Arabidopsis thaliana: one gene and its partners. The protein of the gene in region 1 interacts with the protein of each later gene in a pairwise test. Each region holds a gene or a part of one and is shown in the gene's direction. Other genes may lie near its edges.

Region 1 (7,095 bases):
GGTTGTCACAAAATGTTGTTGATGATGTAGGGAATTGGTAGGGTCTTATAACCTATACTTTTCACATGCATTCTTAAACCCTATTTCTACTGCATCTCCATGTGCCTCCCCTCACGTCTCTACCTTCTCTCTCTATCTGTTTTTTTTTTTCAATCAATAACAAAAGAAATATTACATCATTTTCCCTTTCATCATATCTTTAACCAGCTAAAACAAGTTTGAAGCGAATTTTGCATATATACAGTCCCAACTTCGTCAATTATATTGAAGTTCGTTATCTTTTTTTTTTTTTTTTTTTTTTTTTTTTTTTTTTTTTTGTATGTGTATGTGTGTGTGTGTGAAATATCGCGATTAATAGTTTAAGAAAATTCTTCATCAGAATAATAGATTATAATATTTTCAAAGATTTACTTGTTTTTTGATTATTTTGATTTTATTAAAATCATATTGTTGAGACAATGGTATTATGGTCATGAAGAACCTCAAGTGTTTTATGTATCAATTGGCAAATTTCAGCACAAGTGAATTTTTTTCTTGATTATTTTCTACTGTCTATACATATAAAATAGAGAATATAATATAACAACTTTGAGCTATAATTAGAATCTGTTGGAAAAAAATGAAAAAATATAACAAATATATTCTATCTTGATTTTTCAAAGTATAGAATCTAAAAAAAGCTATATGATATTAATTATCCAATTATATGATTGCATTTATGAGTTGATATGATATCTTTTGGTTGTTTCATAAAACAGAATCAAGAATAAGATGATCAATACCGAAATATATGGCTTCATCATCAAATATTATTTCACATGTGATTCTCCAATGTATCATTATTAAGAGTTGTTATACGAGGACCCATTTTTTTCGCAGCAATCAAATCAATTTGAGCTTTTTAATTAAAATCTTCAAAAATAATCTGAGAAAATCACAGCGTCTCATTAATTATTAAAAAAGTACTTCAAAAAAGTGGATATACGATTTTGAAATGATAACGATTTCCTGACGTCAGAAAAAATCCTATAACAAACATTAATGTTTTTTTTTGGTTAGTTAAGAGACAATAATATGTTACATCTACCAAAGAATATTCCAGTTAAGTTAGTTAATAGTTGGAGTCAAACTTAAACGAACAACGTCGCCTACAAATCTGGGGGTATAAGTTATAACCAACGGCCACCAACATGGGTTTTGATATCGTCCACCTGATTTTTATGTTAATATAACTCAATTTGATTGATTAAATATTATGCTCTTATACTAATCATTCTAGGTCCAAAACTGAATCACTCATTGCACATCATTTTTATGATTTTTATTTTGAAAATCTCATGTTTCAAGAAATATTTGTGCATTCTACTAGTAGCTTATTTTAAATAAAGTTTCGAGTTTATATAATAAACAATATGTTTATTTCTTTGATTTGTATACATTTTAAAAAAAAAAACAGGATGAAGATATATACAACTAAAGCTCAATTCAACTAGTAGGAAAATTGTATTCTACAAAAAATTTGTGTTTATGTTTTTATTATGATAACCATCCAAACTCATTATTTCACCCATGATCAAAGTAACTATATCAATATATCTGCAACAATATCTGACTCAACATTTATTTTTACATAAACTGCGGACCAACACAATTATGCTAAACTATCATCATTTATTCTATTGGTATTGGAGATCAGTCTACGTCAGTGAATACCGCATAATTCACATGAAACTAACTCCAAAACCCTTTAACCAAAAAAAAAAAAAAACTAATTACAACTCCGGTTAACCTGTCGATAATTACAAGACTGAAAACATCCTAGTCAGTAAAAAACATATTTGTATGTATCCGATCCCACCAAATAAATAAGTTGTTGTCAATGATAGAGGAAGAGAAAACGAAAAAAAATTGCGGACCAAGACATTTGGGACTACTAGAGTTTAGGGAGCATAAATGGTCCTATTTGACTTACCCTCTACCGTATAAATAAATGTATTTTAGCCGTATAAATGTATACATACGTAGATGCATAGGTATACAGGATTACTTTAGACGATTTGATGTCGGTATGACATTACATTTGACTCCCCTAGCTCCACTTGTCTCTGTTCATTTTTCTTGTATGTCATTTCCTTGTTTTCCAATTTTACGTTTACCACCCTATTTTATTTTGTTAATATTTTCTAAGTCAACGTGTTGACACTTAATTACAGAATCTGATAACTAAAGTTACATAAAATGCTCACAGTTTTTTTCAGCAAAATACTCACATTATACGACATATAAAATTTTAGCAGTCTATAAATAGTAATTATTTGGCATTAGTATTGGACAAGAAGTAGAATATAAATTAATGTTGGTTCTTTTTTCTATCCAACTTCACACAGCCAATTTTGTAGCTGACATCGTGAATGGACGACTAAACTAATCATAAGCATAGTGATTCAGTTTATACAACAACAACAAAAAGTTAATTACATTTGAGGTTTCTTTTTAAATTGCTATGTTTGGTCCCTAAATGATGGTCATAATAAGGACGGTCCGGCGGTGACGGAAACGCGTAAAGACTAATCATTTTAGTACTATTAATTTGTAGAATTATTATTAAATATGCTTGAATCCTAGAAAACGATCAAATAAATTTTGGAAAGAAGCTCAAAATGTGTTATTTAATTTTGTCCCTATGTAGAGCTGGTTTTTTTATTTTTATTTAAACATAATCCTAAGATTTATTGCTGTATGTGTGAATGCAATAATAAATAGAAACTCAATAATAGATCATTCTTATTTTCAAAAAGAAACAAGAACTACTGCAATGTTTTAATTGTTTATTTTGTATTAAATAATATAGCTTGTTAATTATTGGAGATCGCATTAAATAATAAAAGAAGTTGTCTCACATGTCTTGGAGAATATTTACTAAAAACTATGGTAATGTCTGGACGGTCAAAAAAGTCTCTCTAGTTTCTGATTCTGTTGTCACATTTTATTTTTGAAATTAAATGTCGTTAGATTATTATTATCTATATATATATATATCCCAACAGACCCATTGCTTCTCCAACCACATCTCACTCTTCACCAACTTAAACCCTAATTCAAGATCTCTTCTTTTCGTTCTCTCCTTCACCCACATTAGTCTTCTCTACGACCAAAATCTCTTGACTTTAAAAACAGAGAATGAAACAGCTTTCGACAAAAGTGACAAGCAATGGTCATGGACAAGACTCATCCTACTTCTTGGGATGGGAAGAGTACGAGAAGAATCCTTATGATGAGATCAAGAACCCTAATGGGATGATCCAGATGGGTCTAGCCGAAAACCAGCTATGTTTCGATCTAATCGAGTCATGGTTAACTAAGAACCCAGACGCGGCAAGTCTCAAGAGGAACGGTCAATCCATTTTCAGAGAGCTTGCTCTATTTCAAGACTATCATGGCATGCCTGAATTCAAAAAAGTAAGCTTCTTTCATTTTTCTCAAATTCAATAAAGAGAGTAACCTGACGTGTATCACAAGTAATGAATCCATTTCTCATGAACATTTTCTGTCATTTTTTACAGGCTATGGCTGAGTTTATGGAAGAGATAAGAGGAAACCGTGTCACGTTCGATCCAAAAAAGATTGTTTTAGCGGCTGGTTCGACATCTGCGAATGAGACTCTCATGTTTTGCCTTGCAGAGCCTGGCGATGCTTTCCTTTTGCCTACTCCTTACTATCCTGGGTAAATTACACTTCTCCTCTTTACTTGGATTCCAAGTAAACCCAATAGAAATATATGCTTACGTCTAGGCTTTTTTATGATTACAGATTTGATAGAGATCTTAAATGGAGAACCGGAGCAGAGATAGTACCCATTCACTGCTCAAGCTCTAATGGCTTCCAAATCACGGAATCAGCTCTGCAACAAGCTTACCAACAAGCCCAGAAACTTGATCTCAAAGTCAAAGGAGTTCTTGTCACGAATCCATCTAACCCACTTGGCACTGCGTTGACCAGACGTGAACTTAACCTTCTCGTTGACTTCATCACTTCCAAGAACATTCATCTCATTAGCGACGAGATCTATTCAGGCACTATGTTCGGGTTTGAACAGTTCATAAGCGTAATGGATGTCTTGAAAGACAAGAAACTCGAAGACACGGAGGTTTCAAAACGAGTCCACGTCGTTTATAGCCTTTCTAAAGATCTGGGACTTCCTGGTTTCCGTGTGGGAGCGATCTACTCCAACGACGAAATGATCGTTTCAGCAGCTACAAAAATGTCAAGTTTTGGTCTTGTTTCTTCTCAGACACAATACCTTCTCTCTGCATTGCTCTCCGACAAGAAGTTCACTAGCCAATACCTCGAAGAGAACCAGAAACGACTCAAGTCCAGACAGAGACGCCTCGTGTCTGGTCTTGAGTCTGCAGGGATTACTTGCCTGAGAAGCAACGCGGGTTTGTTCTGTTGGGTCGACATGAGACACCTTTTGGACACAAACACATTTGAAGCAGAGCTTGACCTCTGGAAAAAGATTGTTTACAACGTGAAACTAAACATATCACCCGGTTCTTCATGTCACTGCACCGAACCGGGTTGGTTTAGGGTTTGTTTCGCTAATATGAGCGAGGACACACTCGATTTGGCCTTGAAGAGGCTCAAAACTTTCGTAGAATCCACAGACTGTGGACGAATGATATCAAGAAGCAGCCATGAAAGGCTCAAGAGTTTGAGGAAGAAGACAGTCTCTAACTGGGTTTTCCGGGTTTCATGGACCGATCGTGTACCTGATGAACGATGAAATTATTCATCTCCCTAAGTTTGAGACGACGAACAAAAGAAAACTTCACGGTTTTTTCTTCTTCTTTATTTCCTTCATTTTTTATATTTTGGGAAAGTATTTTTAATTTTCCAAGATATCTATAATCATATCATTATATATGTAATATTTTTTTTAATGTTTGGGTGAGTCTTTAATTTATGCAATTTTTCGGGTGTAAAATTGTTACTATGTGTTATTATATGTTTTTAATGCACTCAATCCGAATGTGGATTTGCAGTGGCTATATATATAAATAAATATATATCCCGTTGTAATTTTAGTGAAACGTTTGTGTGTATTGTACCCATATATAAAAATGTAATTCACTCTTTTTAGTTTATATATATTTTGTTTTATAAATATGGGTTTCTTTAATTTTATGCTCTATCATTTGGTATAGTTTTTGAGTTTGTTGTGAGAATTCTCCTCTGACTATAAGGCTATAAAGATCGTGTTAACGTTGTTGGTTAAGGACGTTAGTTGAGGCATATCAAAAGGAGGCTTAATTTAATGTCAATTAACTAATTAATTAATCATTATATGGTAATATGGCGGGAATTGTCGAATTGGTCAACTGAGAAAGCAAAAGGGGAAAGTCAAAGGTTTTCCACTTAGGTGAATCAAGAGAGAAGGTATGATCTACTTGTCGAAAATATTCGATGAAGCCTAAATAATTTAGTTAAAAATCGACTAAAACCCATTAACAATTTCGGGGTAAAGGTAGCTTCTAGCGTTCTACGGCAGTAAAGTTTTGAGCTTTGAATAGGTACGTTGCATTGCGTAAGAATGTTCACGTCACATATTTGAACTAAAATTACAAGTTTACAACGAAATCCACATTTTTTTTTTGTATAATCAAAACTTACTCTATCAGGATTAACGTAATTATAAGAAAAAAATGAGCAACTTATGAGAAACCGAAATCTGTATATCGAGAGCCATGGTTGATTGATATATATGTTAAGGAGGATATGTCCCAATGATTACAATGATTATAGATTTATACATTACAATTCCAATCATCGAAATCAATAATTTTCAAAAATTTGAGGATGAAAAGGCTCCAATCATTTAAAGAGAAAAGTCTTTATAACCATTTTTTTTTTCTTGTGAAATTATTTCCCGAGGGATAAAGTAGAGGATAAAGTGTCATATCATCATAGGCTAATCATTATAGTATAAGATATAAGATACCGGTCAAATGTTATTATGCTAAGCCTATCACATAAAAAAAAAACTAAAAAAGTGCCATGAGCTTTGTTGGTACTACGAAGAGTAGACTACGAAATATATAATACAACTTTAGTAACCGATTTTGTTTTAATTTTAGCATGATACGCGGCTATACCGGCCGTAACGGCAAATGATCCTTACATGTGAACAGCATTAATGTGGTGGTTGAGTCCCCAAAAATCTGTCTCAATTAATTAACAATTCGATTATAAAAACTTAACAGAGATATGTAGTAGCAGTACGTACTTTGAAAAATAAGAGATTGAGAATTTGGTTGGATTTGAGAATCCGTGAATGAGTAATACTGATTAAGTAATATTCTACTTAAAAGTCTTTATTGCATATGACCGACCATAACTATACAAACTGACATTATGAAGTCGTTGTACCAGAAAATTTTCGTCATTGTCATGGTCGTAGTCTACTTGCTACTATAATAAGCGACATTGGAATGATATTTGATATTATCATTCCATAAATTGTTACGTCAACTGGTGCCACATACTAATCATATAGTTGGTAATGTAAGAATACGTTTTCTTGTAAAAATGTTTAAAATATTGTTTTACCCAGTTCTAAAAGTAGATATAGATTATGGAAGTTTATCTTTATCAACGTATTGTAAAGTAGATATAGATTATGGAAGTTATGTACATATGCATGTCAAGTTTGAACCAAAATTTCAGTCACGTGGGCTTCACGAGTGAGGCCATATAACTGCACATGCCATGACACAGAAACATATAACATCTCTTATGCATACACCTATAGTAATCATATTTATATATGCATAACAAACAAATGAATTGTAACGATTTGTTTTTTACTCCATATTTGACTTCGACCGATTGGACATATAATTTGGAATTCAAATTACATCAATTATATGCCAGGACCCCTTTGATGTTCTTCATGTATGCATGAGGGGTCATCTACGCATGGCATTGCTACTTACGTTACACATACATACTTGATCCATACATAACATAACATTATGGGGAAATTTTCAGAATTAAATTTTTTCATATATTATAGTATTCTCTAATATACCATGTGGG
Region 2 (6,530 bases), about 11 Mb from region 1:
CTACAGGTAAAATTTTTAACCTCTTATTCTTTATTTGGTAGGTTATATGATATTGATTTCCCACTTATACTGTTTCGTTTTGCAGCCTATGCTTCAGGAGCTCGGTAAACAAAACCCCCAGCTTGTGCGACTAATTCAAGAGCACCAGGCTGACTTCCTACGCTTGATAAACGAACCTGTCGAGGGAGAAGAGTGGGTTTAATATCATGATTCTCCTTTACGTTTTCATTTTATTCTTTTTTCTCAATAAAGCATGTAATCTGACATTTCATTCGATGCCACCAGGAATGTTATGGAACAGTTGGAAGCAGCAATGCCACAAGCTGTTACCGTTACACCTGAAGAGCGTGAAGCCATTGAACGGGTTTGTTCCTATGATCTTTACATTTGTACCTTTACTAGATGCTCTGGTTCCTCAAAATATATGGCTTGTATTGAAATTTGATTTTGCTGTTGTTTGTTTTGGTTTAGCTTGAAGGGATGGGGTTTGATCGTGCGATGGTCTTGGAAGTGTTCTTTGCGTGTAACAAGAATGAAGAACTTGCAGCTAATTACCTTCTAGATCACATGCATGAGTTTGAAGATCAATAAACAGAGCAAATCCATTCCTCCCTCTAAACTCAGACCATCTTTCTGTTTCTTTTTCTTCTTCTTTTTAATATGATAATCTCTTCTCCAATGCCATTTGACAGTTTCATGTTTATGTTCATGGGAGTTGATGTGTTTATGTTACTATTAAAACTATCATAGTTTATCTGGTTTGAAGATGCTCCTCTTTTATCATATTATTAGCCTTTGAATCCTTCCTCTCTTTAGGTCTCAGATGCACCAATATTAGCTAAGATTAAAAGTGGATATTTTGGTTCTATATGACTCATCTCGAGTTAGGAATGGTATGTCGAATCTGGTTTAACAGATCTGGCCTAAAACGAAACCGCTATTCAGATCCAATTATTGGCGCTTACATTGTTTTCTCATAGCCTCAAGCTATGCAATATCAATTATTGCACATTTGAATTAACACAAACCCATCAATTAATATATCAACAAAAACCCATCATCAATTAACACATCAACACAAACATAAAGACATATAAGTTGCTCATGAAGAACTTATAATGGTGGAACCAGTGAGCCTTTGAGATCTGTCATAATCGTCTCTGAAATTGTCTCAAATCGAGAGAGAAATGAGAAATCTTAAAATTTTACCCTAAATAATTAAACCCTAGCTTTTAATTATTACTGCACAAATTATGTCTAAATAATTTTGCCCATTTACTAGCGAGCTTATATGGTTTGTAATCCATTTTAAACACTTTAATTTTGGGCTTCACCAAAACCCAACCATTATTATTTGGACGTGGACATCCCATGGTCAGAAAACTCATTCGATAACCCTACATTTGATGATCAAAGTGGCACGGAAGCTCGTTCGATCTACAAGTTTTGTGGTGAGGAGACTTCTCAGTTTTTCTTCTAGTGTGGTTGTACTTCAGGTAAATTCTTTTCAATACTTAGTGGAATTTTTCGCTAACTGTTTTGTGTAAATAAGGACGAGGCCTCCATAGCGTTCAGTGCTTTAACAATGCCGTATCCACTCTGCTAATCTTGGATTTCAAGAGGTATGACAGTTTGTGTTGTGATAGGAGCCTTCATTAAATTAAATAATTTCAACAATTTATTTATTTTTAGAACCAAAAGATTTTTCAAAAATTTTGATTATCAAAAAAAAATCCAACAGATTTTCTGTTAAAATGAAAATATATATTAGATTGTTTTTAAAAAAAATCATCTGCCGGAATTTGAATCTGGACATGCTTATTTTCAAAAAAACATTTTAGCTAATGTGCTAGTGCATATGTTTTTGCTAAGGTATGAATTTAAATTGGATATATAGATCAATTTATTTATTTTAAAACCAAAAAAAATTTAAAAAGAAACTTAGCGGGATATAAAATAAATATATATTAAATTTAAAAAAAAAAGATTTTCCGCTACGGGAATTTGAACCTGAAAATGCTGATTTTTAAAGAAAATTTAGCTAATGTGCTACATGAGATGTTTTTTTTGCTAAAGTATGAGTTTAAATTGGATATATACATCATTCAATTTATTTTTCTAATCTAGAATTTGCTTTCCTAGGACAAATATAGGTACTGAATTATTAAAGAACATATTTTTTGGTAAGATATAAGTGAGTTTTTATATAATTTTGATGATTTTAGGTAAGTTGATGTGATTTACTGTAAAGTCTTTTCAAATTCTATCTAAAACTATGAGATTTAGATTTCTGTATTTTTAACTAAAGAAGTCTTTTCAAATCCTTTCAAATCCTTCAAAATTAATAAGAATCAAATCCACTAACTATTTTCAGTAACAGTAAAAAGGTTGATTTTTAAATTTTTAATTTAATAACACTCAATTTCATTTAAAAATTTAAAATCCATAATTAAATAACATAAAATTTATAAATTTTACATAAATTATTAGATTGAATACACCGCTCTAAATATACACAATGTAAAAAGTCTGTTTAAGATCAATTATAGATTTAACTTAAATCTAAAGGCCCATAATACCGTCCTGTACATCATATAGTTATCTCAAGTTGTAATACTGTAATACCCGTTGGGCCCAGTGGCCCATTTATCAGATTTCAAATAACAGATCTCAACACTAGCATGGCTACACACGTGTCAGATTCAATGCATCAGTCATATCTTCAGCATCCAACACTTGTCAACCTTCCATTGGATCTCTTAACTCTACGCCTCGAAAACAGTTTTTATTTATTTATCATTCCATTTCTCATTGTATCTTCATCAGTCTCTTCTTATTCCATTTTTTCAAACCACTTGCAAAATTCGAATCAGATCTTCTCTTCAATCGAAAAAAAAGAAAGGTAAATCTCTCTCTCTCTAATCATCGTTCGTTTCGTAGTTTCTTCTTCTACGTGTAGATCTGATCTTTGATTGTATGTTTCTGGAGATCTCGATCTCATCGATTCTCTGTTCTTATCACTGATTCAGTGTGTTTGATATCTAAATCCGATTTGTGTGTAGGATGTTAAAATTTAGGTTTCGGTTTTGTTTCTGCTTTTGAACGATTTTGCTCTAGATTCGTTATCCGTGAAGAACATAGACGAGTATGTAGATCTTACTTCGGATTCGCGTTGAAGAATTTTCTCTAGATTCGTCACCTATGAAGAAGATTCATTGTGTTCTTAATCTAGATGATTAGGTTATTGTTTCGACTCATTTGTTTATGCCTATTTTCTCTATGTTCTTAATCGGTGAAGAAATGTATCAATGTGTGTATGTTTTGGGTTCTGATTTTGTAGGATTTGCTCTAGATTGTTGAATCGAAGATGTCGACAAGGGAAGAGAATGTTTACATGGCGAAATTAGCCGAACAAGCTGAACGTTACGAAGAAATGGTTGAATTCATGGAGAAAGTTGCGAAAACTGTTGATGTTGAGGAACTTTCAGTTGAAGAGAGGAATCTTCTCTCTGTTGCTTACAAGAACGTGATTGGAGCGAGAAGAGCTTCGTGGAGAATCATTTCTTCGATTGAGCAGAAAGAAGAGAGCAAAGGGAACGAAGATCATGTTGCTATTATCAAGGATTACAGAGGAAAGATTGAATCCGAGCTTAGCAAAATCTGTGATGGGATTTTGAATGTTCTTGAAGCTCATCTTATTCCTTCTGCTTCACCAGCTGAATCTAAAGTGTTTTATCTTAAGATGAAGGGTGATTATCATAGGTATCTTGCTGAGTTTAAGGCTGGTGCTGAAAGGAAAGAAGCTGCTGAAAGCACTTTGGTTGCTTACAAGTCTGCTTCCGTAAGTCATTCTTTACAACGTTTTTGAATGTTGTTTTCTTTTGTGGGTATGATTGATTTTGTTGTTGTGATAATGCAGGACATTGCCACTGCTGAGTTAGCTCCTACTCACCCGATAAGGCTTGGTCTTGCACTCAACTTCTCTGTGTTTTACTATGAAATCCTCAACTCGCCTGATCGTGCTTGCAGCCTCGCAAAGCAGGTTTGTGTAGTACACCTGATTTTCACTTTTTGCTTCGTGTGTTATTATTATCTCAGTGAATGAAACAGCTATTTTGGGTTTGTGCAGGCGTTTGATGATGCAATCGCTGAGTTAGATACATTGGGTGAGGAATCATACAAGGACAGTACACTGATTATGCAGCTTCTTAGAGACAATCTCACTCTCTGGACTTCAGATATGACTGTAAGTATTAACAACACAATATACGTTGATCACTAAGTTATGTTGTTGACATGATGGTTTCTTTTTTGGTGAATAGGACGAAGCAGGAGATGAGATTAAGGAGGCATCAAAGCCCGATGGTGCCGAGTAAACCCGAAGAAGAGGAAGAGTCATTTTATAATGGTAGAAAACTTTCATGTGATAATCTGAGTGAGGGATAGCTCAGGATTCTTATAAGAGACACAGTTTTATTGTTGTTTGTTTGTTTTGAAACTACTTGCGATTTATCATTCCTCCTTTAGCTTCCTCAATATTTCCTATTCTCCTTTCTAATGAAATCAAAACTTGGTTATTTCTGATATGGTAGTTGTCTTTATTTTCTATTTTTTTGGTTATTGATTTGATCAACTAAAAAAGTGTGATAACTTTCTCAAATTGATTAATTAATGTACGAAAACACTTGCTGCAAATGGATCACTTCCATGACATTATACTTTGATATAATATATTACAAGAAATAAAAGGTAACTAAAGTAGAGAAAACAAGAAACCATATTTATAACAAAATATTTCATTTCAAACAATGGTAAAAGATCTCAGATAACATAGGAGACAGACAAGTTACTACTAATAAAGGAGAGAACCACACCAAAATCCTAATCTTGTTAATTAACACTTCCAATAAGTTACTGAAACTCAAAATCACTGAATAAGCTAGTGAACAAGTGAAGAGCTACTCTGTGTCAAGTGCAAAGCAGAGGACTCCACGGCACCTGAAAGTCCAAAGGCTGATCTTGTCGCCGACTTTTAAGCTGCTACTTTTGACGACATCATTCCAACCCCAATTCAAAGTGTAATTCAATGTTCCATGTCCAGAGTCCTTCTCCATCGCCCATATCTTGAAACGCAAACCCCACTTTTGAAATCTTTGGTTCACAAGAACCGTTCCCACACCAATATTCTCGTCGTCTTCTTCATCATTGTCTTCGTCTTTCTGCATAGCTCTACACTCCGCAGGAGTCAGGAAATCGTTTCTGATTAGCTTCTGGAAAGGCATTAAGAGACGACTAAGGTTTGAGTTGACATCACTCTTAAACAGAGTCCTCTCAAATATCAGCCTCGGGGTTTCAGCATCAGCGTTCATGTATCTCATCACTTGGAAAATCCACTCAGGCATCTCTGTACACAACCTTGGCAAAGGAGAAACCTTAACTTTCTTGACTTTACCACTCTTCCTCTGCTCCACGGCACGCCTCTTGCGGTTTGTCTTCCCTGTTAGGCATGAAGACGGAGACGAAGATTGGTAATTAGGGTTTGGTACGTCTTTTGTCTCTGTCGAAGGTTCAAGACAAGGAAGGTTCAGGAGCGATGAAGAAGAAGTAGAAGCTCCATTAAGATTATCAAAGAGTTTCTTTTCACTCTCGTCATCATAATCTTCATCGTAGACAATCTTGGATTTACCTTTCTTTAAACGTTGTTCTTCATCACACACCATAGGTTCATCAAAACAAGGGTTTTGTAGGTTGTCTGTCTCAAAATCAGTAGGGATTAGGTTAAGATCGGGAAGCGATGACGAACAAGTAGAAGCCCCATTAGGGTTTTGTTGTGTGTATCTTCTCTTCGCCAAAGACGATTTGATTTTCCTCGGGAAAAGATAGAAGAAACTCATCTTGCACTTGGATTCTTCTCGTTTCTCTGCAAGAAGACGACTACGTTGTTCTTCTTCCTCCGCAACCATAACCGTCACATACGCCAGTAAACTTAAACCCGACGACATATTCTTCCCCGAATCCGTGAGATGATTATCGTGATACATAATACTACTCATCGTGATTGAATCGAAAGACTGGAAAGTTTCTGAGAGCGACGACGTGAGGAACAAGAAACTTGTATATAGAGAGACGAGAAACTGATCGACGATTAGAAAAGAAGTACCTTCTCTTGCCTTATATATACTTTACAATAGGGTTTCAGGTTTCTTTGTTTTCCTATTTCTCCATTGAGTTTAGTTGTTTAATTACTGTCATTAGTAACTAATTATAGCCGTTGTGATCAAGTGTTTCCTTTTTCACAAGTGTGAGAGATAGTGAATTTTTAGGAAGTTTCCTTTCCTTTCAAATTTCAATAGCTTTGCTTCACTTTTTTGTATTTGATGTATTATTATATTTTTTGGGCACTTGCCGACTTTGATATAAATTAAATAAAATGCAGAAAACAGTGGAGTCTCAAAAAAATTCAGATCTTTAGAAAAACAAAACCAATATTGTTGTCGATTGAATCGAAAATAGTTTCGAGTATCCATTTA
Region 3 (9,049 bases), on another chromosome or scaffold:
GCTTCTCTTTTTGTTTTCAATATCAAAATATTCTTCATTTTATATCAAATTGTAAAAATAATCTGCTTTCCATTACTAAAATTGTCAAAATTTAAAATCCGAAACTCCAAATTCTACACCTAAACTAAACTCTAAAAACTAAACCATAAATCCTAAACCCTTATAACTCTTATTTTTTTTAACCATAAAATGTAATATGGTCTACATAAGTTTGAAATAAATATTATTAACAAAAAGCTTCAATTATCCCTTTTTTCTTATGAGAAAAAACAAAAGACTTGCACTTCTCGTGGTGTCTTTCGCGACATTACACACATGACACATCCTTGGCATTTTCGTTATAAATTATTACATGATCCACAGTTCCTGTGTTCCCTCTACAATCACTCACATGAACATGTGAACTGTAACCACAAAAATGTACAGTTTTATTTTCTTATTTACATATTTTTAAAGAGACCGATAAGCTAAATACCTCATCCTAATAATCATCATCTCTGTAAGGCTCTCAACACAGTAAGAAGATACAAGAAGAGGTTGATGATGTCTAGGTAGAGTGAAACCGCTGCCCAAATATACTCATCATACGTGTGTCTCTTGATCAGATTGTCTGTATCGTAAACTATGTATCCGCAGAATATTATCGATACCAAACAACCATAGATCATCACTGATACCCTCCCTAATGGGAACAAAATCTGCACAACATACCCCAAATTAAGTTACGAAACCTGGTTATGCAATCAAAAAGCTACCACATTTAAAATCAAGTTTCAAGTTTCTCATTTTATGCAATGCTTATAGTGATATCAAGTGTCAAATTCTAGCCTAAAGATTACTATAAAGAGCACCACATTCAAAAAGTTAAAAGCTCTCATTCTCTGTACTGCCTTTAGCAGTGACAAATCAAGCCTTTCTAATTTCTAAGTGTAAAACAATGCTGCCAAAACTAACACATTTCATAGGCTAAATCCCTTATCTGTAATGTCTAATGTGAAATCTCACTTCTTAGTCTCGTAAAAATGCTACCATATCCGATACGCTTAAATCTTGTGCTCTCTAATGTCTAATATAAAATGAAGTTGTTAACTGTTTAGCCTAAAGAATGATACCAAAACTACCACATTTCATAAGCTAAAGACTACAACTCTCACTCTCTCCAATGGAAATTGGAATAAGTAGCTTTACTTGTATTAAGGCGAAGAAAATAAGCACGGTGAGAGCGCCAAACAAGAAGGGTCCAAGGAAATTAAAGTCATATCCTTTCCTAGCAGCCCAAAAAGTATATAATGTGAGCGAAAGCACCACTACCGATGTCAAGATCACTGACTCGAGAATCACTTTCCCTGTGTCCAACACAGAATAAGCTTTAAACATATACACAATCAGAATCATAGAAAAAACTGAGAGATGAAATTTGCTAAGAGCTAGTTCCCCAATAGCAAAAACAGAACTTTGTTGCCTAATGGATCCTTAACAGGTAACCAAAAGTGGTTGATCAAGTCATACCATTGGTGAAGGCACATGTTAATCCAACAACAAAAGCCAGAGCCAAAGTGAAAATCCCCAAGAGCAAGTAATTCACCGGATGTTTCTGATGGTAATAGTACAACGGACACAACACTATACATCGGAGAGAAACACAAATCCAAGTTTCAGCTTTTGAGATTATTACCAAACTTCGAAAAAGATTGAAACTTTTGATTTGTAAAACAAGTGTGCGTGATGATTGTACCTATGAGAGGTGTGATGATGATGACTATGTAAAGAGCTAATCCAAGTCCGGTGGTGGCGAAGAACAGAGCGATTGGACGGACGGTGACCACCGTGGCAGCGACAGCGACGGTGGCTAGAAGCTGAAAGGCGATTATAGAGTAGACCTTGCGTATAAATCCCCACCGGAGCTCGGGATTTTCATGCATCGCTGGGTATAGTAAAGGCCTTCTTGAGCTAACGCCTGTTTCCACGTCATCTTTCCGGTACGGTAAGTTCCACTGATACATTATTTACGATAGCAGAGTCTTTATAAAGTGAAGGAACGCGCGGGAAAATTCGAATCCTTTCGATTACTACTGTATCACGATCTACAGAGAGAGAACCACAAGCGAGAGAGAAAAGTTGATGCGGTGCTTTGCTTGAGCTTCTTCGGATTTTCCTGGGAGAAGCGGTGATGCCAAGAGGAAGAAGAAAGTTCATGAAAGCTCTCGGCTAAACCGTAGATGACGCGTGGCAACCGGAGATGTCGCATAAGCGGTGACAAGGATTTGATGTGTCCAAAGGGAAAGTGTTCTTTTTTTTGGCTCAACACAATACTTGCTTAACCAAACTTCACAGTACATTTCAAATAGTAACGAAATTTTTTATATATATATATATATATATATATTTTTATTACTATTTAAACCGTACAATATTTTATCTATAATTAATTTGCATTTTTCCAATTAGAACTTAACTAAAAAAAATTAGTTGATCAATAGTATCATTCTTGCATTTAATATAGAGGGTTTTCAATCAATATATGTAAGATATTTTTAATCAATTATTTAAACTGAAATAATTAAAAGTAAAAATTGATTTGAAATTTGGATAAAAAGTAAACAAAAATAAATTTTTAGAGAAATTAATTTGGGATATATTTTCATCGTTGATAAATAATATTGAAACTGAAATTACTTAAAATGATGCAGTTTTAAATTTTAACGCTAGTTTTTATAAACTTTTTTTTTGGTTTTGGTGGTGTTAAATGATTGAGTTGATAGTTTAACTTGTTAAATGAAAATATAATTATAATGTAGATTCTTGACTAATCATAGTTTATATTTTTAATCGTAATTGAGACACAAAAGGCTGTTATGCTTGATCATTTTTGTATACATTATTGTAGAATGTAAAAACTTATAATTAATAGAAAAAATAATAATTTAGTTCAAAAAATAGAATTTTTCACAATCTCTTGAAGAGTGGCCTAAGAATCCGATAGTGGTGGTTACTGTTTGTGTTGAGATATAGCATATGAGCAAAAACAATTGAAAAGAAGAAAAACTTTCCCTTTTACCAATGAAACAAAAGAGCTCTCAGATAATTAGAAAAGTGTCAATTTGTATAACATTTCCCACTCTCTCTCTCACTTCGATTCACTTTTGCTCAAACTTGACAACTTGTCCGAATCTGTCCATAGCACACCTCTCTCTCTGTTTTAGGGTTTTCTCTTCACTGGTGCTTTCTTCCTTGTCTCGCTGGTTCAAAGATTCTTACTTTTTGATGTCTAAGACATCTTAGATTTGTTAGACTCTCTTTAATTTTTCTGGGTTTAGCCACTAGATTATGTTATACTGCTAGAAGGTTAGGGTTTGGTCGAGAAAGCTCTAATTTTGGTGATTTATCCTCTTAATTTCGCAAAGGGTTATCTTTTCAATGGCAATTGCGAGTGAGTTTTGTTATTCTCACTTATGTATTTAGTAATTGTTCCGTCAGCTGTACATAAGTGGTTGGTTTCATAGAGAAATGCTTTTAGCTTTAGGTGTTGTAAGATCTCATAATACCAAAGTTCAGATTTTTTTGTATAGGATTCCATTAAGTAGCCCATCTCCACTTAGTTTCTGGTCTGGGTAGTGTGTAACCGACAAGAAAATAGTGTTTTGACTATCCTCTGGCTATCCTGGAGATCTGGGATTTGTTTCATCTGTTATGTCAGATGAGGACTTTTTACCCTTCTGATTCTTGTAAAGAATCACAACTCGATTCCTTGAATCCACAGTCATGGCTTCAAGTTGAGAGAGGGAAGCTATCTTCCTCTGCTTCTTCATCTGCGTAAGTTTCATTTATTTTTCTTGAACTTTGAGATGTTTTGGATATGGAGTAATAATATTTGGTCTTTTTGTAGTCCACTGTGTAGAGAATCATTTATCAAAGTTCCCGAGCCTCAGATACTGCCGCATTATAAGCCTCTCGACTATGTAGAAGTTCTAGCTCAGATTCATGAAGAACTCGACACTTGCCCTTTGCAGGAGAGATCGATTCTGTATTTGTTGCAGTATCAAGTGTTTAGAGGTCTTGGAGAGACCAAACTTAGACGGAGAAGCCTTCAATCAGCTTGGCAAGAGGCTACTACTGTCCATGAGAAAGTTGTGTTTGGATCTTGGTTGAGGTATGAGAAACAAGGAGAAGAAGTTATCACAGATTTGCTTTCCTCTTGTGGTAAATATTCTGAAGAATTTGTGCCACTAGATATTGCATCCTATTTCCCAGCTACTACTGCTTCTTCCCCTGAGGCAGCATCTGTGAAGACGAACCGCAGTGTATCTAAAAATGTTGTGTTTAAGATAGGAGAAGAGAAGATAGCTTGCCAAAGGCGGAAAATTGCGAGTCTTTCAGCTCCATTTCATGCTATGCTTTATGGTAATTTCACGGAATCGCTTCTTGATGAGATAGATATGTCAGAAAACCATGTATCCTCATCAGCTATGCGGGTTGTTAGAGATTTCAGCGTTGTTGGTGTACTAATCGGAGTTTCCAAGAACCTTCTTTTGGAAGTTTTAGTTTTCGCAAACAAGTTTTGCTGCGAGCGACTTAAAGATGCATGCGATAGAGAATTGGCATCTTTGATTTCTTCTATGGAATGTGCCATTGAGCTTATGGACTTTGCACTTGAAGAGAATTCCCCCATCCTAGCTTCATCGTGTCTGCAAGTTTTTCTTTATGAGATGCCTGATAGTTTGAATGATGAGCGTGTTGTTGAGGTTTTGACTCGAGTTAATAGATCTCAAGTCTCAACCATGGCAGGAAAAGCTCCATTCTCCTTATATTCTTGTTTAAGTGAAGTCTCGATGTGTATAGATCCTCGGTCTGACAGAACACTCGGTTTCTTGGAGAAATTAGTTGACTTTGCAGAAAATGACCGGCAACAAGTATTGGGGTTCCATCGGTTAGGTTGTATGAGGCTATTGAGGAAAGAATACCGGGAGGCTGAAGAAGCTTTTGAAACAGCTTTTAACTTAGGCCATGTGTATTCCGCTACTGGTTTAGCAAGACTAGGATACATCCAAGGGCATCGGCTTTGGGCTTATGAGAAGCTAAGCTCGGTAATCTCCTCTGTTTCGCCGCCTCTCGGGTGGATGTATCAGGAAAGGTCTTTCTATTGTGAGGGTGACAAGAAATTGGAAGATCTCGAGAAGGCAACCGAATTGGATCCGACTTTGACATATCCTTACATGTATAGAGCTGTCACACGAATGTCGAAACAAAATGCTAAGGCTGCTCTTGAAGAAATCAATCGGATCTTGGGGTTTAAACTTGCTTTAGAATGCTTAGAAATTCGGTTTTGTCTTTATCTTGGTATGGATGACTATGAAGCGGCTCTTCGTGATATTCAGGCTGCTCTTACGCTGTGTCCTGATTATAGAATGTTCGATGGGAAAGTAGCTGGGAGGCAGCTCCAGACGCTTGTGTATGAGCATGTCGAGAATTGGACAACCGCAGATTGTTGGATGCAGCTATATGAGAAATGGTCTAATGTTGATGATATAGGTTCTCTTTCTGTAATCTATCAGATGCTCGAATCCGATGCTTGCAAAGGTGTTCTCTACTTCAGGCAATCTTTGCTTCTCCTAAGGTAATTTTTCTAAATAAAGGTGTTCTTTACCATTATTTAAGCATCTCATTGTCATACCTTTGTTTTGTTCAGGTTGAATTGTCCAGAAGCAGCGATGCGCAGTTTACAGTTAGCCCGCGAGCATGCCTCAAGTGACCACGAGCGTCTAGTTTACGAAGGATGGATCTTGTATGATACAGGTCACTGCGAAGAAGGGCTTCAAAAGGCTAAGGAATCCATTGGAATAAAGAGATCATTTGAAGCTTATTTCCTCCAAGCTTATGCCTTAGCAGAATCTAGCCTTGATCCATCGAGTTCTTCTACTGTTGTTTCACTTCTTGAAGATGCTCTTAAATGCCCCTCTGATAGGTTGCGCAAAGGTCAGGTACGGTCGTTCACCATCAGTACATCCATTTGTTAATCAGTGAAAAGAAAAACTATGCTTCAGGTTGATAGGGTTTGGTTTAGTCAGGATTAGCCAATTATGTTACTGCCTGGTTTTTGTGAAATGTCCACTTTGGTTTTGGCTTGAGTCGATTTGGTTTTGTGCTTATTTAGTCTATGAAAATGCTATTTGTTTTTGTTTTTAGGCTCTGAACAATCTCGGGAGTGTCTATGTCGATTGCGAGAAGCTAGATTTAGCTGCGGATTGCTATATAAACGCTCTCAAGGTAAGACACACGCGTGCACACCAAGGTCTAGCTCGTGTCCATTTCCTTAGAAACGACAAAGCTGCAGCCTACGAAGAAATGACCAGACTAATCGAAAAGGCTCAAAACAATGCATCCGCCTACGAGAAAAGATCTGAGTATTGTGATCGTGAACTCGCCAAATCTGATCTTGAAATGGTCACCCGGTTAGACCCTCTCCGGGTTTATCCTTACCGATATCGCGCCGCAGGTTTTTCTTCACTTGCAACTCTTATGCTCCTTTTTTTGTTCATCATCTCCGAAAAATAATTGGCTTAACCGAAACTTGATTATTCGTTATTCTTTTGTGGGTTTTGATAGTGTTGATGGATAGTCGGAAAGAGAGAGAGGCTATCACAGAGTTATCCCGAGCTATCGCCTTTAAAGCAGATCTTCATCTTCTTCACTTACGAGCGGCTTTCCACGAGCATATCGGTGATGTCACGAGTGCGTTGCGGGACTGTCGTGCAGCGCTCTCGGTCGACCCCAACCATCAGGAGATGCTCGAACTCCATAGCCGTGTTAATAGCCATGAACCTTGAACCGCAACCACACACAAAAGAGCTTCGATATGAAAGTAAAGTGTGAAAAATTGTAATACTAAAAGAATCATTGTTGGAAACTTGTAATCTCTTGTAACTCTTTTATTCTTTGTTGCTGTTTTCCATATATCGATTTCGTATTTTGTCCTTCCATCGTAAACTTCAAATTTCTCTGGGCCTAAAACGTAAACTTGATTTAAAACAATAAGTAGATCGTTTGAGTTCTTGGTGACAAACCTAAAGCATTTTCCTTTATTATTCTTGCACCTAATAAAGCCCCAATGAGCTATCTTATTTTCAAGCTTTAGGTTTGAAAATGTGAAAAAGCTTTGGGTTTGTCACCAAAGACTCAAATGATTTCGATTACGTTTTATAGAAGGTTGAATGTTTGTACTCTTGTTACATTAACCCATGACATACATTACATATACATATAATATATAAGAGCTTTTACTACAAGACCTATTAACATGGGCTTAGATGGGCTTCTAGAGTTGTAGTGTTAATAACTTGGGCTTAATGGGTACTATAATACTGATGACTAGTTTTCTTTGTCCTCAAATGATCTAGTTTCTTCCCTGTTTTACTTTAAAATATAAAATTTTCCCTTTGTTTGTTACAAGAATTCGAATATTCATGTGTTTATTTCCTTCGTATAGCATATATATTTTCAGAATATTTCACAATTCAAAAAAGCCTTTATGAAAATTTTAAAAGAAGAATATTCGGTGTTGCATGGGTTTTAGTTACGCTCGTGTCTCATAATGGTCACACGTTTTGTTTTGTTTTGGCCTAAAGGGATTCCATCATAAACTGAATTTTACTACAGTAGACACGCCTATCCCAATGAATCAAATGGTACAAGACACGTCTAAGGACAAAATCGACTTAACAAAATGTTCTTCATTGGAATATTTTTCTATAGAAAAATTTCAACAGATAAAAAGTTAAAGAACGGATGAAAGAGTGCGAAAAATTCTTGTTGGTGGGGTAAGTATTTTCTTTTTGGACATGAACAATTTTCAAAGGGATATATTAAGAATATTAATCAAAAACTTATAAAGGTTGGAAAAAAAGGAAGAGGAAGATAGCACAAAGCCACAAAGTCATCCACAAGAGTAAATCATATGAAGACGAAACAAAATTCAACAAAGTGATATATTCCATTTTGATATTCAAAGCCAAAATGCTTTTAGGGCATTGGTTGCTTTGAGTGTATGTATTTTTCTCCCCTACAAATACAACTCTCTTTTATCTTTGTGAGTGATTCAAACTTAAGTTAGGAGGCATGTAAGGATGTTGTATAATCAGAATTTAAATTTAAATTAGAGAAATAGACAATAAAGTTGTTTAATTCGTCTTTAGGGCGAAATAGCTTTAAACCTAAATTTGTTTTTTTTTTGTTAGAATCTTTGTATGATGTTCCCTTTTTACAATGAGTTTCTATTTCCTTACGTTGTTTTAATTTATTTTATAGCTTATGATAAGTTTCATTCAAATCAGTGTGCCTTTTTAAGAATTTTGGGTATATTATGGGAATGAGAGAAACTATAAGGAAAAAAAAAGATAAAGCTTTAGCAGCCTTGGTAGAGAAAGTAACATCACTCAAATTCATAATAACACACAAGTAAAATATAATAATATTTAAAGACAAATTCAGAAGAAAGTTATAGCTTTTTCTACATGAAATAAAATCGAACTAGAATCCCTAGCTAAAGTAATAAGGAAATACAAATAGAAAATAGCACAATTGAACAAGTATACTTATACTCTTGGCAATAAGTCAAACAATTTCATCTTGGATACTTAATTTTCCAGTAGATAGTTTCCTATTAGATATTCCTCAATGGTTGTATTACTAAATTTAGTTCTTCTATTATAAGAACAACGTTTATTTTGGCTAAGTAATTGTGTGTTTAGATTCTCTTTACAAACTTAAACAAAACAAAAAAAGTTTCCATTATTCAAACCCCAATAAATTGAAAAGAGGCACACTTTTCTTGATATAAAAGTGATTATTACTTCCATTTAAGGAAATTAGGCCTGATAAGTCTCATCTCACAATATTTTCCATTAATTGCACAAATTGATAGCTTGCTTTTTTTCTTTCTGGGTCTACTCTTCTTTTTTAGTAGACAATTTCAAGTAAATGCTTATAGTCTGAACCTGTAATCATCACTCTTCTCTGTAATGCAGAACACTTAAAAAATTACATAAAATAAAGA
Region 4 (8,209 bases), 2.7 Mb from region 1:
ATATGCACAAGCTTCCGGATGAGTTTCTGAAAAATAAGAAATAACACCAATGTCAACCACAGATGTTAAACCAATGCCTCATTCAATAAAACCATGAAAGTGGAGTCAGTCCTACATCAGACAGCCTGTGGATCTTATAAATTCAATGGGTTCTGAGATGATATCTTAATCACGATAAGGTCAGAGAAACAAAATCAAGTAGCTGAAGCCATACAGGTATTCCCAAACCAAAAATGTTTAATAGAATTTTTGCTAATCATAGATAATTCCTCTACTCCTAACCAAATTACTTGAAGAAAAACAAGTCACTGCGGAGAAACACATAAGAGAAAGGAAAAAAAAACAAGCCATGTCCAATATGTGTATAGACTGACTCATACGAAGAAATAATCCTTCAAAGTATAGCAAAGAAATTGTGCAACATTTAAACCTACAAAATTCATATATATCATAAATATGGTTGAATCTTCAAGTTACGATGAGATTGTGATTATACCGCACGAATTTCAAAAAAATTTCATCCCCAAATTGGGTTCTGAGCAATTTTCCCACTAATTTACCAGATATGGGGTTACTTTCCCATTGTTTATCGCAGTGTTCTTCCACCCCAAAATAGGTATCCATTCACATTCTATAATTTCTTGAACTAATAAGATTTATTATCCTCGCCATTAATGCCATCCATTACTCGATAAAGCTTACTACTACCATTACTCTGAATCCAAAGTTGCTTTAACCAGAAATTGCAGAATCGAGCAACATTCCAAAAACGTTATTCAACAAATCGACGCGTGTATAATTTAATTAAGTGAATTGAATGATCGAAAACCTGGTCGAAGATGCCACGTTTGCCAATCTCTCCCCAGAAACCGAGGCACGAGAACGCAACGATGCTAGTGACTCCAAACGCGCAGACATCTGATAAAACCGAATTTTCCGGAAACATCACGGCGGCGAGTGAAGACTTGCGGATTTTGGTGGCCGGAAACCTAGAGCTCGATCTAAAGCTAGTCGCGATTCGGACAGTGAGGAATCGTGGAATCGGAGAGAAGAAGGCGAGAGAAGGAGGAGAGTCAACGAGAGGAGATGAAATGAAAGAGCAGCAGAGAACGGAGAGCTTTGTAGTAGTACTAGTAGTTGCCATTTTCTGCAACACTAGAAAACACGACCTTTTCTTCGATTACGTTTTCATTTATTTTTTTTGACAGTAACTGGTTGGTAGTTGTTGTTGCTCAAGCACACAAAATTTGGTTTGTTTTATTGTTTACCAAAAAGATGGTGAAAAGTGGATATTTATTTCCCCAAAAGGAGTGTTTTACTTTATCTGGTCACATATGGATTAAAGCAATTTTAGTTTCGTTCTATTTGGATTCGGCTAGAATGGTTCATGACATGGTGGTGTTCGTTTGAGGAAACGCATAATTTGTTATTGTGGGCCTAGTTTGGGCTTTATATTCGCTAAATAATTTGGGCTGGTATAAGTCAACTAGACGGACCACAATTTGATTTCATCAAATAATTTTTCATGATTAATAAATCCCTAATTTAGTTACGAAACACAATTCAATTATTGTGCTACTCAGATTCGAGAAACATAAAAAAAAAAAAAAAAAAAGTGATTCAGATTCCCTCACATGGGTTGCCGAGACACATGACCACACGTCTCTTGCCTTGTTTAATCTTTTATCAATTTTGCATCAACTTGTATATACCATAAGAAAATTATTTTAATTGATTTCAATGTGAGATTTTCTTTAGTATTTTTTGCATCAAATAATGCCAACCTAATCCTCAATTATCCATCTTTATTTTTTTTCTGAAACAATCTTATATTATTTATCTGTTGGCAAAAGAAAAAAAATCCTCAATTATTTCGCAAATGGTATATATGTTTATCTTTAAAGAGTACACTTGCATGTGTTTTCCAGGTGTGCGGGCAAAAGAACATCAGAATTGGTTCTGGATATAGTTCTCTCCACTTTTTATTTGTTATTGTTTTAATACAGTACGTTTTATGAGAGTTTTTTATATATATAATAAATTATGCGTTTCCTGATAGTTGTTGGTCCAATATCGAGAACAAAAAAAACTAACTACAAGCTAAAAACCTAAAACTATGAAGATCTCAGAAAATATAAATATACACGCTCACGTTAGCGAGTAAAAAAGTAGACACCAGATTAACAAATGATTAGTGTGATCACAGTAAAGAAATGTTTTGCAAAATTTTAAGCAATTTTTTGAAATCATGTTGTATGTAATAAATTGAGTAAATTCATGCTGTACATAAATTAAAGACCATTTCTTTGTTAGTCATTGAAATCATAACCAATCAACCAATAAAACTGAATTTTTTTCGTTCATTAGAGAGATAAGTTAATATCTTCAAAGTTTAATGTTAAGCTCAATTGTTTAGATAGGAGATAACCGATAAGAAACCACATAACTAGTTAACCTACCTATCTTGGCATCACATGAATCAATGACGTTGGATAGTCAGAGAGGCTTATTTTAATTATACCCGAAACGAACCAACCATCTATAATTCTCTAAACTATATTTAATCATCATATAACTCTGTAATAAACCCAAATTTTCACAAATTAAAAGCCATACCAATATCTTCAAATATGGAAAAAAATAACAATTTAACAAAGAAACAAAATATTTCCTCACCAAAAAAACAGAAACAAAATATTGTTTTAAAAAAGGAAAGTGGTCTTTACACAAAAAGGAAAGAGAAAGGAAAGTGGTCTGGTTCGTATCGCACCCAATAAGAACCACCAACTGTTGAAGTTCGTAAACTGTTCCACAAAAAAATGCATAAAAGAAAGAAAAACAGATATGAGATTCGACCATTTTTTTTCCATATAAATGTTTTTTGGGTTTGCAAAAATCGACGCCATTACTCTTTTTTCTCCCCAAATTATTGACCTTTTTATAAAAATAATTTATATTCTCAATCACACTTCATCGTCTTCTTCTTCCTCTCTCTCTCTCTCTCCTTTTTGTCTCTGCACTGTGTGTTGTCACCGGAGACAGAGCTTGTGTTTTCAACTCTCTCTCTCTCTCTCTCTCTCTCTCTCTCTCTCTCTCTCTCTCTCTCTTGCTCTCTCCGTCTCCCTCACTCTCTCTTTACTTCAAAATCAAACCCTTTTCTCAGATTTCTGTGATATAGCAAAATGCGCAATCTCAAACTCTTTGAGAGATTTAAAAGCACTCAAGTCCACGCCTTTACTACACAAGACTCTCCCTCTACAAGCAGCAATGGTAGCCCTCGAATGATGAAGTTCCTTGGGCATCCCAAATCCAAATCTCGTTCACTTCTCCCTCATGGCTTTCCCACCACAGACCTCCTCGAGCCTCCCTTGGACTCTTACCTCAAACCTATCGATTTGGTGGAGTCATTATCAAATCTATATCGGAGAATCGAGTCCAGTTCGGAATCCGAGGCATCGATGCTCTACCTTGAGCAGTACGCTGTTCTCCGCAGTCTCGGTGATGCCAAGCTCTTGCGTAGGTGCCTTCTCAACGCTAGGAGGCACGCCATTGATGTCCCTTGTAAGGTTGTTTTCTCTGCTTGGTTGAGATTTTTTAGGAGAGAACATGAACTTGTGGGAGTTGAATCTATGGATTGTAATGGGCTTGCTTCTGAATGTCCGAAGACTAGTTTGACTCATGGTTGTGATTTGAATGTAGACGACGAGGGTTGTGAATGTTCTACGGTATGTGAGGATGAATTTGGTAGTGATGACGTTAAAATCTCTAAGGCTGATGAGTTTTCGGGTCTAGATGAGGTTAGCGATATTTCCTTCTGCGTAGGTTCAGAGAAGGCTAAGTGTGTTAGGTCGAGAATCGCAGCGCTTTCGCGTCCTTTTGAGGCCATGTTGTATGGTTCTTTCGTGGAATCAACAACTTCTGAGATTGATTTCTCGGAAAATGGCATCTCTATTGAGGCAATGTTGGCACTCAACATATATAGTAGAATCAAAAGAGTTGATCTGTTTCGTGTGGAAACTGTATTTGAGCTGCTTCAATTAGCCAGCAAATTCTGTTGCGATGATCTGAAGTCTGAATGTGAGGCTCGCTTGGCTGCTTCTGTCACTGACCTTGATAAAGCTTTAACCTTTGTAGAGTACGCGTTGGAGGAACGCACAACGCTTCTCTTATCTGCTTGCTTGCAGGTGTTTCTGAGAGAGCTTCCTCAGTCTCTTCACAATCCCAAAGTGATGAGATTCTTCTGCAGTTCCGAAGCAAAAGAGCAATTAGCTTTTCTGGGTTCAGAGTGTGTGTTCCTGTTGTACTACTTCCTCAGCCAAGTAGGCATGGAAGAGAAACTCACGACGGACACTATGCTGATATTGCTAGAGAGAACTCGAGAGTTTGCTCGTACAAACTGGCAAAAGGCTTTGTCTTTGCATCAAATGGGATGTGTTCTGTTTGAGAGAAAGGATTACAAAGCAGCCCAGTTTCATTTCAGATTAGCTTCAAGCTTAGGGCATGTCTACTCTTTGGCTGGGGTATCAAGAACTGAATATAAACAAGGGAAGAGGTATTCGGCGTACAGGCTCATGAACTTTCTCATCTCTAATCACAAGCCACATGGATGGATGTACCAGGAGAGGTCTCTGTACAATGTTGGAGTTGAGAAACTAAAAGATTTAGCAACCGCCACTGAACTTGACCCGACACTGTCTTTTCCGTACAAGTACAGAGCCGTAATGAAATTCGAACAGAAGCAGATTAAAGAAGCCTTCCAAGAGATTGATAGATTAATTCAGTTCAAGCTTAGTCCAGAATGTCTCGAGCTGAGGGCTTGGCTGTATTTAGCCACTGGTGACCGGGAGAGTTGTTTGAGAGATCTTAGAGCAGTGCTGTCTTTAGAGCCCAATTATGTTGTGTTTGGTGGGAAAATGAGAGATGATTTGGTGGAGGCTCTGACCGCGCAATGTATTGAAGTAGAGAGTGAAGCGGATTGTTGGGTGAGGCTTTTCGATAGATGGTCAGCTGTGGATGATGTTGCGTCGTTGGCTGTTGTTCATCAGATGCTTCAGAATGATCCCAGCAAAAACTTTCTGAGGTTTAGACAATCTCTTCTTCTCTTAAGGTAAGAAGAATATCTTTTGTTTCTCTGGCAACCTGATTGGTGAATTCTTCAGGAGTTGACGGAAGCTACATTTTTTTGTGATCTGTAACAGATTGAATTGTCAAGGAGCCGCGATGAGGTGTTTGCGAATGGCATGGAACTTGGCTACTTCTGAGGCAGAAAGGTTGGTCTACGAAGGGTGGCTTTTATACGACATGGGTTATGTGGAAGAAACTCTTACTAAAGCTGAGGAGGCAATCTCTATTCAGCGATCCTTTGAAGCATTTTTCCTCAAAGCATATGCTCTAGCTGACAAGAATCTCGATGCAGACGAGATCTCTTGTGTGGTTCAGGTTCTAGAGGAAGCCCTCAAGTGTCCTTCAGATGGGCTACGCAAAGGACAGGTTGGCATTTTGATGTCTCGCCTTTCTCTTTCTCTTATTCACACTGTAATCTGATTAGTCGTTTTGTTATGTTTCTGCAGGCTCTGAACAACCTTGGGAGCATCTACATCAATTTGGGGATGCTAGATCAAGCTGAAACCGCATATAAGAACGCTATAGAGATCAAACACACTCGTGCACGCCAAGGGCTGGCGCGAGTTTATTTTTTGAAGAACCAACGTAAAGAAGCTTGTGAGGAGATGACAAAGCTGATCGAGAAGTCGTGTAGCAAAGCAGCAGCCTACGAGAAACGGTCTGAGTACTGTGAACGTGAAAAAGCCAAAGAAGATCTTGACATGGCCACAACACTCGACCCTCTGCGAACTTATCCCTACAGATACCGAGCTGCCGGTAACTAACTCTTCCTGTTCTGTATTAACATCTTATAAATTCTAGTAGTTAAAGAAGTGATCGTATGTGTGGCAGTGCTGATGGATGATCAGAGAGAGACAGAAGCAGTGGAAGAGCTGTCAAAGGCGATAGCTTTCAGACCAGAACTGCAAACGCTGCATCTCAGAGCAGCATTTCACGAGGCCACTGGGAATCTGTCATTGGCCACTCAAGACTGTGAAGCTGCTCTCTGTTTGGACCCTAACCACACCGAGACGCTCCATCTCTACAGCAGATCCAAGGATCAAGCTTCTTCCATTGACAACACCATTTTTGGCTTAGATTAATTTGAAGGTATCAACCATATTATCCCATTTGTATATTTCATTGGGATCTTATAAATAGATTTAACTTTTATTTTCTTCTTCTATAAATGGATGCTGTAAAGAAGCTGCCATTTATTAATCTTACCAATGGTTTCTATGCAAAACCAACTTTTTAGTATATACAGTAAAGAGTCTTTTAATGCAGAGGAACAAAAAAAGATGATCATCACTTCACAGTGTCATTTGTGTATATATACAGGGGACACCTAAAAGGACGGCTCCTTTCTCTTTAGTTTCCTTCTGTGGATATGATCTCCAGCTCTGTCCACCACCGTGGAGACAGCCTCGGCATTGCTGCGTCAGCTTCTATTCCAGTTATCTCTCTCAATTTCACCACAACCTCTCTCATTGTCGGCCGCTGATCTGAGTATGGATTCAAACACTGCCTAACCACCTCCAACAGTCTCTCAACAACATTTTCCTGAAATGTTTTCAGTGTCGGGTCCACAATATCTCTTGTGGGCTTGGGTTCGAGAAGCATAGAATCCGGGTCTGGTAATTTTCCACTGATGATTTCGAATAAAACGGCACCAAAGTTAAAGACGTTGGTATGGGGATCAAGTAACGAGGGTTCTAGAAGGTTCTTGCTCGAGGAACCCTCCTTAGAGGGAAATATGGAGTTGATGACAGAAAAGTCAGAGACTTTGGCGGCGTTGTCTTCAGTCAAGTACACAGAAGAGGAGTCCAAATTGGAGAGCAAGATGGGTGGGTTAAGATTGTGCATGTGCTCTAGACAGTAAGCTATTCCCATGACGATTCTGAGTCTGGTAGGCCAGTCCAAGTGCTCCACGTATTGAGCTGCCATGAGATGAGAGATCAGTTCAAACAGTTCAAAGAGTGTACGAGTTAAATCAAACAAGGTTTCTTGAGGAGATGAAATCCTCACAGTGCAGATGCTCGGAGAGTGATCCATTGGGAGCGTATTCAAAAACCAGCATTCGCTTGAAGGGCTCTTCCTCAAGGCAATAACCGATCACATTCAAAAAGTTCTTGTGATCCACTTTGGATAAATTATGCATCTGCAGAAACAGAGCGCAGTTGTTCATTAATGGCAATGCAAATCTCAGTTCAAGACAAGTGCAAACGAGGTTCTGATACCTTTTGTAGCAACTGTGTGTCCATGGTGGTGGACCAGTCTGAACGAGAACCGGCCACAATAGACACCACAGCGATTTCAGCACCAGTGGACAAAGTTCCTTTATAAATGGTGCCGTCTGAGAAAGATCCTATGACATTACTGAAATCTTCGCAGGCTGCTTGTAGCTCAGATAGCTGCAGCCTCGGAACATCTGCTCCAATACAAAACTATAAATTTAGAGAAATTCCATATGAAGAGAGAAAAAAGAGAGATGAAGACTGAAGAGTGTGTTTGCCTGTGATAAGATCATCGCGAAGCTGGCCACTGTTGGTCCAAGGCTTGATTGGAATCTTTCGAGTGAGGATAAGAAAGATGATGATTAATGCTACCGAGACTGTGAATACCCCACCGACTATGCCAACGATCATATAAACTTTGGGAGACTTCTTTGTAGTTCCTGGAGACACAGGAGGAGACGGAGACGGAGCTGGAGCCAGTGGTACAGGCAGGGGAGTGATAGCAGGTGGGGTCTCTGGTGTTTGTGTTGGCACACCACTTCGAGGAGGGCTCGGGGTTTCGTTGCCTTCTGGTGGTGGCGGAGGCAGCAATGGATCTTTGAGGATAGCGGATTCAGGAGATGGCGGAGAGGCATCAAGGGCAGGGTCTTTGCCAGGAAGAGGTGTATCGATAAGGCTGCGATGGTTCGCATAAACTCGGGATTGGATCAAGAAGTGATCTTGAGAAGAATCAAAGACCTCTACAATCTCTTCAAGAAATGAATTGTCATCATTTAAAGAGACACACAAAAGGTTGCATAGAGAAACATAGAGATTAGTCAACTACCTTGAGAGTTAAGATTCAGAGGAAGAAAGGTGAGGAAGATGAT

Evidence for each region.
Region 2: the proteins of ACS5 (region 1) and GRF3 come close enough for resonance energy transfer, tested with the Arabidopsis thaliana proteins (one study listed by BioGRID).
Region 3: the proteins of ACS5 (region 1) and EOL1 interact in a two-hybrid assay, tested with the Arabidopsis thaliana proteins (one study listed by BioGRID).
Region 4: the proteins of ACS5 (region 1) and EOL2 interact in a two-hybrid assay, tested with the Arabidopsis thaliana proteins (one study listed by BioGRID).

What each region holds. Positions count from the first base shown.
Region 1 is NC_003076.8:26,328,784-26,335,878, reverse strand, and holds ACS5 (ACC synthase 5), read left to right. Parts: upstream 1-3,066; 5' UTR 3,067-3,180; coding exon 3,181-3,459; intron 3,460-3,563; coding exon 3,564-3,724; intron 3,725-3,810; coding exon 3,811-4,783; 3' UTR 4,784-5,133; downstream 5,134-7,095. UniProt on the Arabidopsis thaliana protein: 1-aminocyclopropane-1-carboxylate synthase (ACS) enzymes catalyze the conversion of S-adenosyl-L-methionine (SAM) into 1-aminocyclopropane-1-carboxylate (ACC), a direct precursor of ethylene.
Region 2 is NC_003076.8:15,406,910-15,413,439, forward strand, and holds GRF3 (general regulatory factor 3), read left to right. Parts: upstream 1-2,774; 5' UTR 2,775-2,902; exon of another isoform or gene 2,903-3,240; intron 3,241-3,340; 5' UTR 3,341-3,367; coding exon 3,368-3,841; intron 3,842-3,919; coding exon 3,920-4,042; intron 4,043-4,129; coding exon 4,130-4,246; coding exon of another isoform or gene 4,247-4,250; intron 4,251-4,322; coding exon 4,323-4,376; 3' UTR 4,377-4,692; downstream 4,693-6,530. Other genes in the region: RAD23D (Rad23 UV excision repair protein family), read left to right, coding at 1-6, 86-192, 286-364, 472-591; AT5G38490 (B3 domain protein (DUF313)), read right to left, coding at 4,959-6,053. UniProt on the Arabidopsis thaliana protein: Is associated with a DNA binding complex that binds to the G box, a well-characterized cis-acting DNA regulatory element found in plant genes. Involved in the regulation of nutrient metabolism. Reciprocal negative transcription regulation of miR396.
Region 3 is NC_003075.7:1,178,977-1,188,025, reverse strand, and holds EOL1 (ETO1-like 1), read left to right. Parts: upstream 1-3,013; 5' UTR 3,014-3,697; coding exon 3,698-3,813; intron 3,814-3,886; coding exon 3,887-5,614; intron 5,615-5,686; coding exon 5,687-5,978; intron 5,979-6,183; coding exon 6,184-6,493; intron 6,494-6,603; coding exon 6,604-6,824; 3' UTR 6,825-7,103; downstream 7,104-9,049. Other genes in the region: AT4G02690 (Bax inhibitor-1 family protein), read right to left, coding at 492-698, 1,189-1,346, 1,510-1,623, 1,736-2,003. UniProt on the Arabidopsis thaliana protein: Possible regulator of the ethylene pathway, which acts by regulating the stability of 1-aminocyclopropane-1-carboxylate synthase (ACS) enzymes.
Region 4 is NC_003076.8:23,663,448-23,671,656, reverse strand, and holds EOL2 (ETO1-like 2), read left to right. Parts: upstream 1-2,770; 5' UTR 2,771-3,182; coding exon 3,183-5,107; intron 5,108-5,198; coding exon 5,199-5,490; intron 5,491-5,570; coding exon 5,571-5,880; intron 5,881-5,955; coding exon 5,956-6,206; 3' UTR 6,207-6,362; downstream 6,363-8,209. Other genes in the region: FOLK (Phosphatidate cytidylyltransferase family protein), read right to left, coding at 1-26, 830-1,144; AT5G58540 (Protein kinase superfamily protein), read right to left, coding at 6,475-7,043, 7,132-7,264, 7,344-7,534, 7,619-8,089, 8,167-8,209. UniProt on the Arabidopsis thaliana protein: Potential regulator of the ethylene pathway, which acts by regulating the stability of 1-aminocyclopropane-1-carboxylate synthase (ACS) enzymes.